Coturnix japonica: one gene and its partner. The protein of the gene in region 1 interacts with the protein of each later gene in a biochemical or structural test. Links are inferred from orthologs where the notes say so. Each region holds a gene or a part of one and is shown on either strand. Other genes may lie near its edges.

Region 1 (3,815 bases):
GTCCACAAGCCAATAAAAGCATACGGAGTTGGCTGTGCTTGCACTGTAGGCTGAAACTGTCAGTCAACCCTATTTGTGCTTGTCAGTTCAGCAAGTCATGCCACAGAACTTGATGCCATTTTCAGTCTTTTTTCGAAATAGAATTACTACATACCTGTATATCTTGCAAAATTCTTAAATTGTGTCTTTTTTAAATAGTGTTGCTTTTTAACTGGAAAGTGTAAAATATAAGTTAATGTATCATAGCTTTATGAGAATGGAAGTGTCTCTTCTTAACTAGTGCTTATCATTCAATAAACAGTATTTTTTTGACATTAAAAATTGGAAAAGCTATTAAATTTAAGCTTGCTTAAGAATGTTTTATGCTTGTGTTCTTATATAGCAAAACCAGCTCCTCTAGAAATAAAACCTCTGCCCGAATGGGAGGAATTACAAGCCCCAGTTAGATCTCCTATCACCAGAAGCTTTGCGCGAGAGTAAGTTTCCTAGCTTTTCTTCATTTGGATTGTTTCTGTTGACTATAGCATTAATAATGTATATATACATCTGTGTTGTATTTTCAGCCTGTGTAATATAGATTCTTTTGGAACTGTGTGTATGTGTATGCATGCATTAAGACAGAAGTATGTCAATGTTAATTCTTATTTTTTAATAATGTATGTGAAGGACTGTGTAACCAAACAATGAGGCACTCTAGTAGTCTTGAATGACAATTTCAGCTCTAACGTGCTTATTTTTATTGTTTACCAGGAGGTTTAAGATATTCAAGATGTATTGTTTGTAAAATAATTCCTGGTAATTAGCTCCTCCAGGTTTCCCATGTCTCCCAGACCGGATTCAGTTCATAGCACAACTTCCAGCAGTGACTCGCACGACAGTGAAGAGAATTATGTATCCATGAATCCAAATCAGTCCACTGAAGACCCAGTATGTAAAATCTACATCTTAACTACTCTCTTCCTGTGCAGTCCTTACTTTTAAATCATGCAAACACAAATCCTTCCATTCAACATCACCTTCATTTGTATGTCTAGATCAAAATTTAAAAAAAAAGAAGAAAAAAAAAAACCTCTACTGCAATTGTAATTTTGATAAGATTTCATTGAGGAAGAGATGAGCATAATCATATATAGGGAATATGGTTAGCATACGTTCAGACTGCAAAATAGATCAGCAGATGACTTTATTTTTCTCTTCTGTAGAAACTGTCTTGTCTTCTGTAGATAGTTCTAGAGCATGCGACAGTTCAATATCAGGGCATCAAGGGAAATGAGCTATCATAGGTCCTCTGAGACAGGCTTAAAACCTTTATTAAAAAGACATTTGAGAAATGTGGAGGGTCCGTGGCAGTGGGAGGGGAAGTTTGATACGTTGCTTATTTTTCCCCTTTTGGGGAGAACTTTTTGGATGGAGGTATCTCAAATATTTAGCATTCACTGAAGAGCTAGGTAAGAGAAGTTACTGATATGCTGTGGTTTTCTGTTCTAGTTTTCTTCAGGAGAGAGTACAAGGGGGAAAAAAAAAAAAAAAAAAAAAAAAAGTTAAGTGAAAGGTTAGCAGTAAACCTAGGCCTAAAATGAAACCTAATCCATTCAATCCTTGAAGCTCTGGGGGAAAACCTGCACCGCTACCTCGGTTTTTGGGTCAGAGTAGTTTTAGTGTGATGACCATCTTTCTGCTGCTTCGACTTCTTATTAGGGAATATGTTTTTCGTCTTTAAAGTTGTATCAAGCTATGGTTCTTTGAGGCAGAATCTGCTTACCTCTGTTTTTGTTCTTTTTATTACTCTGCTGCCTTCTATGGCATGTGCTATCCCATTTCACTTAACCCTTGGCTCTTCACAGTGCTGCTTGCTACCCTATTCCCTGCTGTCCCAGATACCCTCCCTGGTCTCCTCCAGTCTCTTTCCCCTTGTGCTCTGTAGCTGCCTGTGGATACCACCTTTTACGACCCCCCTGAGTGAGCCCCACCTGCTGATTTCTCTTTGGCACTTGCGACTCAGTGCAAGCTCACGAGCCTGCAGGAGGTCCTGGCTCATGCTTAGATCAATGTCTGTCAGACCTGACAGCAGCACAGGCAGGCTTCCTAGGTGAAGTGCGCTTCAGCTGTGGGGAGCCAGTGATGTAAAAACTTAGCTCCTCACAGAGTACTGTGCAAGAGGCACTGGTAAGTAATCAGTAACGTCCCCTTATACAGATGCAATAAATGTCCTTTTTTGCAAAGGTTTGGAATTGCCTCTACCCACAGTAAAACTGCAGCATTGCAATTAGAAGTGGGAATTTCTGCTGATTCTTACAGTGGGTGCTAAGATAGTGTTTTTAGTGTTGCAGCTAAGACAGCCTATCATCAGTATCCTTCTGTTTGCTTGCACCATTCATTTTCCTGGGTTGTTCTACAGATTTCCTTTCATTCTCATTTAAATGTATTTTAAGTTTGGTTTCTTATACCTGTGTTCTACCTGTTTAGTTTGCTTAAGATAAAAAGATGTTTAATGACTAAGAGTTTTTTATTATTATTATTATGCTGGAAACCTTAACACAGATGCTGCTTTTATGTTAAATATGTAGAAATATATTTAAAGAATTGGGGTGACAAGAACTTTGCCTGTTGTTTGTTTGTCATTGTAACCACTTAATACGTTAGATGATACAGACATAATGTATAACAGCATGAATTTTAAAGGCCCGGCCTGTTAAGCTCTAACCAATAAAATATTTTATTTCCTAGAGAATCTGAATATTTCCAGGTATCTCAAAGCCCTTTTTAAAAATATGCATAGACTTTTCAGAATTTATTTATTTCATTTTTTGCTTCAGCTACATCTCAGTGGGAACTCCATACTTTTAAAATCCTTTTCTGTCATCAGCTTTGAATCATTTCATTTGGACACACTGCACTCCTGTTTTATTTAATAAAATCAGCGATGTTCTGCTCTCTCTTTCAAGTTGCTGTCAGCCTTACCCTTCTGTCTTTCCTTCTGCCTTCCTCTTCATTTTTTGCTGACTGCTGCCCTCTGTCTTCCTTTTTTTTCTTTATCTTTTAGAGAAGAGTCCTTCTATTGTACTGTTCCTATAACACCTGTTAAGAGGGAGGGATCAGGCTGGGAGAGGACAGAGGAGGTGAGGTTGTAAAAGTCTGGGCTAATTGAAATGTAGGTATATGCAATACAACTTCAGTTTAGGCAGTCCTGCACAAATTATCCAAAGTGATAATCTTTTAGTTTTGTTAACTTGAATAATGCATTTTGGTTTTAAGCTTAGTTATGATAGATTCGAGTGAAACTGAAAAGTCTTGTTTGAAGCTTTGCTACCATTGAAAGGCTGAAACCTTCTAAAATATATAATGGCCATTTAAAGTTTTTTGTTGTTGTTGTTGTTTGGGTTTTTTTTAAATTGTAATTAAGAAATGTTAAACTTGAGACGTGTAACACCAAAACAACTCCCTTATTACCTCATGATATGAAAGGGGTATTAGGTGGAAGGTACAGATTGATTTGATGACAATCTTAATTATGGGGGGTGGTTTTTGGTTTCCTTCCGTCCATTCCCTTTGGCTTTTGATTTTGTCCCAGGCTTAACGTTGTTCTGTTTCTGTTTAATTTAACTGTATCTATATAACATCAACAAAACTTGCATGGTTTAACTGGGTGTAAAAACTCAGTTCTTTAACCTTCAATGTTTTGACAGGTTATAATAAGCATATTTGATAATTTGGATTGTTAGCATGTACGTTTGCAGCTGAAGTTCTCTATGTTACAATTTCAGAATCTGTTTGGTAGCAACAGTCTTGATGGAGGAAGCAGCCCCATGGTAAAA
Region 2 (4,264 bases), on another chromosome or scaffold:
CAAAAAGAGTTTAGAAATGAATGTATGTTACCTCAAATGATCACCTGCACCCACATGCTCATCATTTCCTTCACAGAACTGCATCAGATTTGTGCAGTGGGACTGCCTTCTGCAAAAGCTACAAGGTGCAACCTCTATGTCATTTCTCTCTTCACGGTAATCTTTTTCTTCATTATGGTTTCTGCATATTAATTTCAGGCATACAGAAGTTAGACCTGCTGCTCTTTGCATCCCCTCAAAGCACTTTTAAAATGGTTGGCATCATGTTTGCTGCTTTTTGCCCTAATATGGAGACTGAGTTAAGTCCTACATTGTATGTCACAGCTCAATTGTTCAACCTTTACTATTTCACGCTCCGTTTAATTTTCAGTCAAGATTTCTAAAATACCGAATCCCTGGATTTACTCCCATTCTTATACTGATTTGTCCTAAAACCACTTCTAGTTTCCCTGGCTTTTCTCCACAAAGAAAACCCCAATGTGGGAAACAGCTTACATCCCTTTGGAAGACCCACGGATGCTGAGGATTCACTCAGCTTTTATGCCTCATCCTTATCTTCTTTGAGCACCCTTTTTACATCTCAATCATCTGTCAGCCTTACAGACGCTCTGGCAGGCTTCCTGCTTCTGTTGTCTTTGAAAATAATTTTATTACGTGTTTTTATGTCTTCAGCTCCTTGTTCCTCAAGATATGCTTTTCAACGAACCTATGATGGTTTCTCATTTAACTTGCAGATCTGTGCTCTTTTCTGTTTTCTATAGTTGGGTAGAACTCACATTTTTTGAGGGATCGTACCCTCTGTTATTTGGCTGTTAAACAAGGATGGGCTGAGGCAGTGGCAGCAAACTGACAGCACCATTAAAAGCACGTGTCATACTGAGTATCTTCAACTTTAGAGATTGAAAATGGTCTGTGTCCCACTCTGTCCTGTGATGGACACTGTTTCAGCATCCGTCCTCCGTCCTCCATGCCAATTCCTGACCACCCTCATCCACACACGTGGACCCATTACCACCGTGGCACTGTCACTGCAGGGAGGAGCCTGCATGGGCTGAGCTCTCCTTTCCTTCCTTTCCCCTAGACAGCAACACACCTCCTGCTTTCTAGAAAAGTGCCACAGGAGAGGAGAGCTACTGAAAAAAGGTATGGGGCAAGTGTTTCTCTGAGAGATGGGGGACCAAGCTAAGTGGGAAAAGCTCTAGGGAGGGAGGTGGGATCTTGAAGGGAGAAGTAAAGCACTGCAGGGCAGGGGAAGAGCATGGGATCCCTATGTCATCTTGTCGGGTGGCTTCCACACCAGAGCAGTGCTTGTGAGAGACAAATCCCTGCATCTTGGCCACATCCAACCAGCTGGGAGCTGTGGGAGGAGGTGGGGTAGACTGGGCTGGGGAAAGCAGCCTCTGGTCCTCAGCACCAGCAGAGATTCATGATGTTGTGCTCTCACAACACTGTTCAGAGTTGTGGCACTCTTCAGCGCTGCCTGTGCATGGCGTCTCAGGGTGCTGCCCTGATCTGCTCTGTGTGCTTGGAGCAGTACGAGGCCCCAGACTTCCCGGGGTGACCAAGAGCCATCCTCACCTGGCTACTTCTTACTGACTGCTGTTGGTCATAGAGCTCTATAAATGTTTTCCTTCTCTGGATCCTATTCTTTGTAGGTTTATTTTGTCAGAGCATTGTGCAAGGGCTCAGCCCAGAGCCCTGCATTCCTTTGGATGGCAGCACAGCTAAGACTGAAACATACAGCGCTGAGCACTTTAGTAGCTTGTTCTCCCTTATAAATTTTACTCTCTTATCACTGACAGTCAGCGGAGCTGTGCCATTAACTCAGTAACAAGAGGCTTGTGTTTTTGGAACGAAATATTCCCATGCCACTTGTATGTGGCTTAGCTGGTGACAACAAAGCCTTTATCTATCACAGCTCTTCTAGATAACGGGTCCCTCCGCCATTGTTTCTGCTGAAATGTCATCAGGAGTTTCTGTACAGATGTTCAGGGTTGAATCCTGTCCCTGGTTGCTCATCAGTCCGATAGGTTGCTCTTGCGGAGCGGAACAAAGACGCAGCAGCTCGCACTGTGTCTGTCAGCACGAAGCCTTGCTGGATGGAGCTGCCTGCTGGAGGTATTTGTGCTGCAGGCAGGGAGATCAACATTCTGTTCATAGGGCTGCTTTAAGCAGCCACTTTGTAGGAAACCGTGCTTTCTTCTGTGATGTTAATATGTGAGATTGAGTAGGGGTGAACCTGAGCCATCCCAGAGTGATAAACTTCATAGGAGGTGACCTTCCCTGGCATTGTTATTACTGAATTTTAATCCAATTTGGTGTAGGGGAAACTCTTTGGGATGCTGTTGTCAGATTACGCTGCTTGCTGACATGATTTAGGCCTCAGCTCTTTTCATCAACAGAGAGGCTGATGTTCTTGCTCAGGGAATGGCACTCTGCCAAACTGAAATACCTACCTCATGCTCTCAGAGCTGGGCTGCTTTTCTCTTCACTCTTGATGAACCTCCTGCAGCATCAGTCCCACGGAACAGCAGTAGCCCTGTGCCCATTGGATCTGCCTCGTTGCAGTGGGGAACTGCAGAGAAAATTCACCTCCATGCAGAGAACCGGCACAAAATGGAAGTACTCATCAGCCTATACTCAGAACTGACAAATCCTCCTTTAAAAGTTGCAGAGGCTTCATGCTAAACCCTGCACAAAGGTGATTTTTTTTCTCTCTCAGAACATTATGCACAGTCTAAAATTGTCCTTGGTTACTTGAAAGCTTAAAGGAGTTGCACCAGGCAGTTAAAAGCAGAATCTGACTGCCTGCAAACTGCAGTGCTGTCCTTTGGGATAAAAGGTGCTTGAGAAATGGAAGTTCTGATGATTACCTAAAAAACTCTCATCTTGGTGTGTCATGGGGTAGTGCTCAAAGTCACACACATTCAGAGAGCAAAAGAAAGGGCCCCTGGAGGAGATTTTTCATGAGGGCCCAGCACTGACCTGCACATCCTCGAGTTACAGATGGAGGGAGGACTGGGATCAGAAAATAGAGGTGGTTTGAAGTTCAGGTGATGAAAAGTGGTAGGCTGCCATTCAAAGACAGGATTATGGGTTAGTGCTTCTTTAGTAGTTTGTGGGGGAAGAGCTTAAGGCCACAGCATTGCTGATTTATCAACACAGCCAACACTGTGCATGGTATTTGAGTCGCTTCTAAATCCAGCCGCTGGCAATGAAAAGCACATTTAATCCATGTGTTAGATTGTTTGAAGAGGTATCTGTCTCCTGGTCTCTCCCCATGGTTGTGATTGCTGAAATTGAAAATGAGGTGAGAGAGGAGATTTTAACCGTTTCACAAACACTTCTCTCGAGAGGGTCACGGCTCCAGTGGCATCTTTAGCACCTGGGAGACTGAGAAATGAAAGGCTCCCCATCCCTTCCTGCTCCCTGCAGAGAGAAGCCCTGCTGCCTATCCTGTGACTGAGGAGCAAAAATCAAAGACAGGATTTGTATTTATTGTTTTGAACTGGTTTGGGGCTTGGAGGTTTTTTGTTTGTTCTCTTTGATTTCTGTTGTTTGTTTGTTTGTTTGTTGTGCTTTGTTTTGTGTTTTGTTGTTGGGTGTTTTTTCCTCGAGATGAGATTAATGCTCTGCATTAGGAGTTCCAGGATTCATTTGCACTGTCGGCTCTGATCCCCACCACCATATGAAGAAATACTGAAATAAATCCCTTACTAAAGTAATTATCCTTGGTCTTTTTTCTTTGGTTCTCTACCGTGAAAGAGTATTATTGTTTATCTAGTTGTCCCAATGGCTAATTCCTCCCCTATTTAAAACCCTTACACTCTATCAGCAAGAATGGCTGTGGGAAGTTACAAACAGGAGTGCAAAGAATGTCAGTGCAAGAACAGAGGACAGTCTTCAGATCAGGTCTGAATTGCATCCATAGAGTTGCACCTGGAATAAAAAAGGGGCAATTAGACAGCAAGCTTAAGCTATACTTGCAGCTCTGATACACATAGAGCAAATGAGTAAGAATTAAAGAGCATCAGTAAGTGGATGGAGAGAAAATGGGGTGAAAAGGTGTGGAAGTTGCTTGAGAATGAGGTGCATTGGTAAAACATAGACTGTTACAGGTTGGTATGGATGTATTGGACAAAACCTCAGGGCTCTGGTTGGAACAGCAGGCATGTGGCAGGTCACAATGGCTATGTGTCACGCTACCCGCAAGTCCCAGCACACAAGTCCTGCTGCTGTAGGACAGGCTGATGCTCAATAGGCA

Evidence for each region.
Region 2: the proteins of GAB1 (region 1) and GRAP2 form a complex in vitro, tested with the Homo sapiens proteins (2 studies listed by BioGRID and IntAct, with this or other methods). The link is inferred for Coturnix japonica from reciprocal best matches to the Homo sapiens genes GAB1 and GRAP2.

The regions. Positions count from the first base shown.
Region 1 is NC_029519.1:26,860,463-26,864,277, forward strand, and holds part of GAB1 (GRB2-associated-binding protein 1), read left to right. Parts: intron 1-382; coding exon 383-476; intron 477-803; coding exon 804-927; intron 928-3,043; coding exon of another isoform or gene 3,044-3,119; intron 3,120-3,764; coding exon 3,765-3,815. UniProt on the Homo sapiens protein: Adapter protein that plays a role in intracellular signaling cascades triggered by activated receptor-type kinases. Plays a role in FGFR1 signaling. Probably involved in signaling by the epidermal growth factor receptor (EGFR) and the insulin receptor (INSR).
Region 2 is NC_029516.1:45,896,177-45,900,440, reverse strand, and holds the start of GRAP2 (GRB2-related adapter protein 2), read left to right. Parts: upstream 1-1,210; 5' UTR 1,211-4,264. UniProt on the Homo sapiens protein: Interacts with SLP-76 to regulate NF-AT activation. Binds to tyrosine-phosphorylated shc.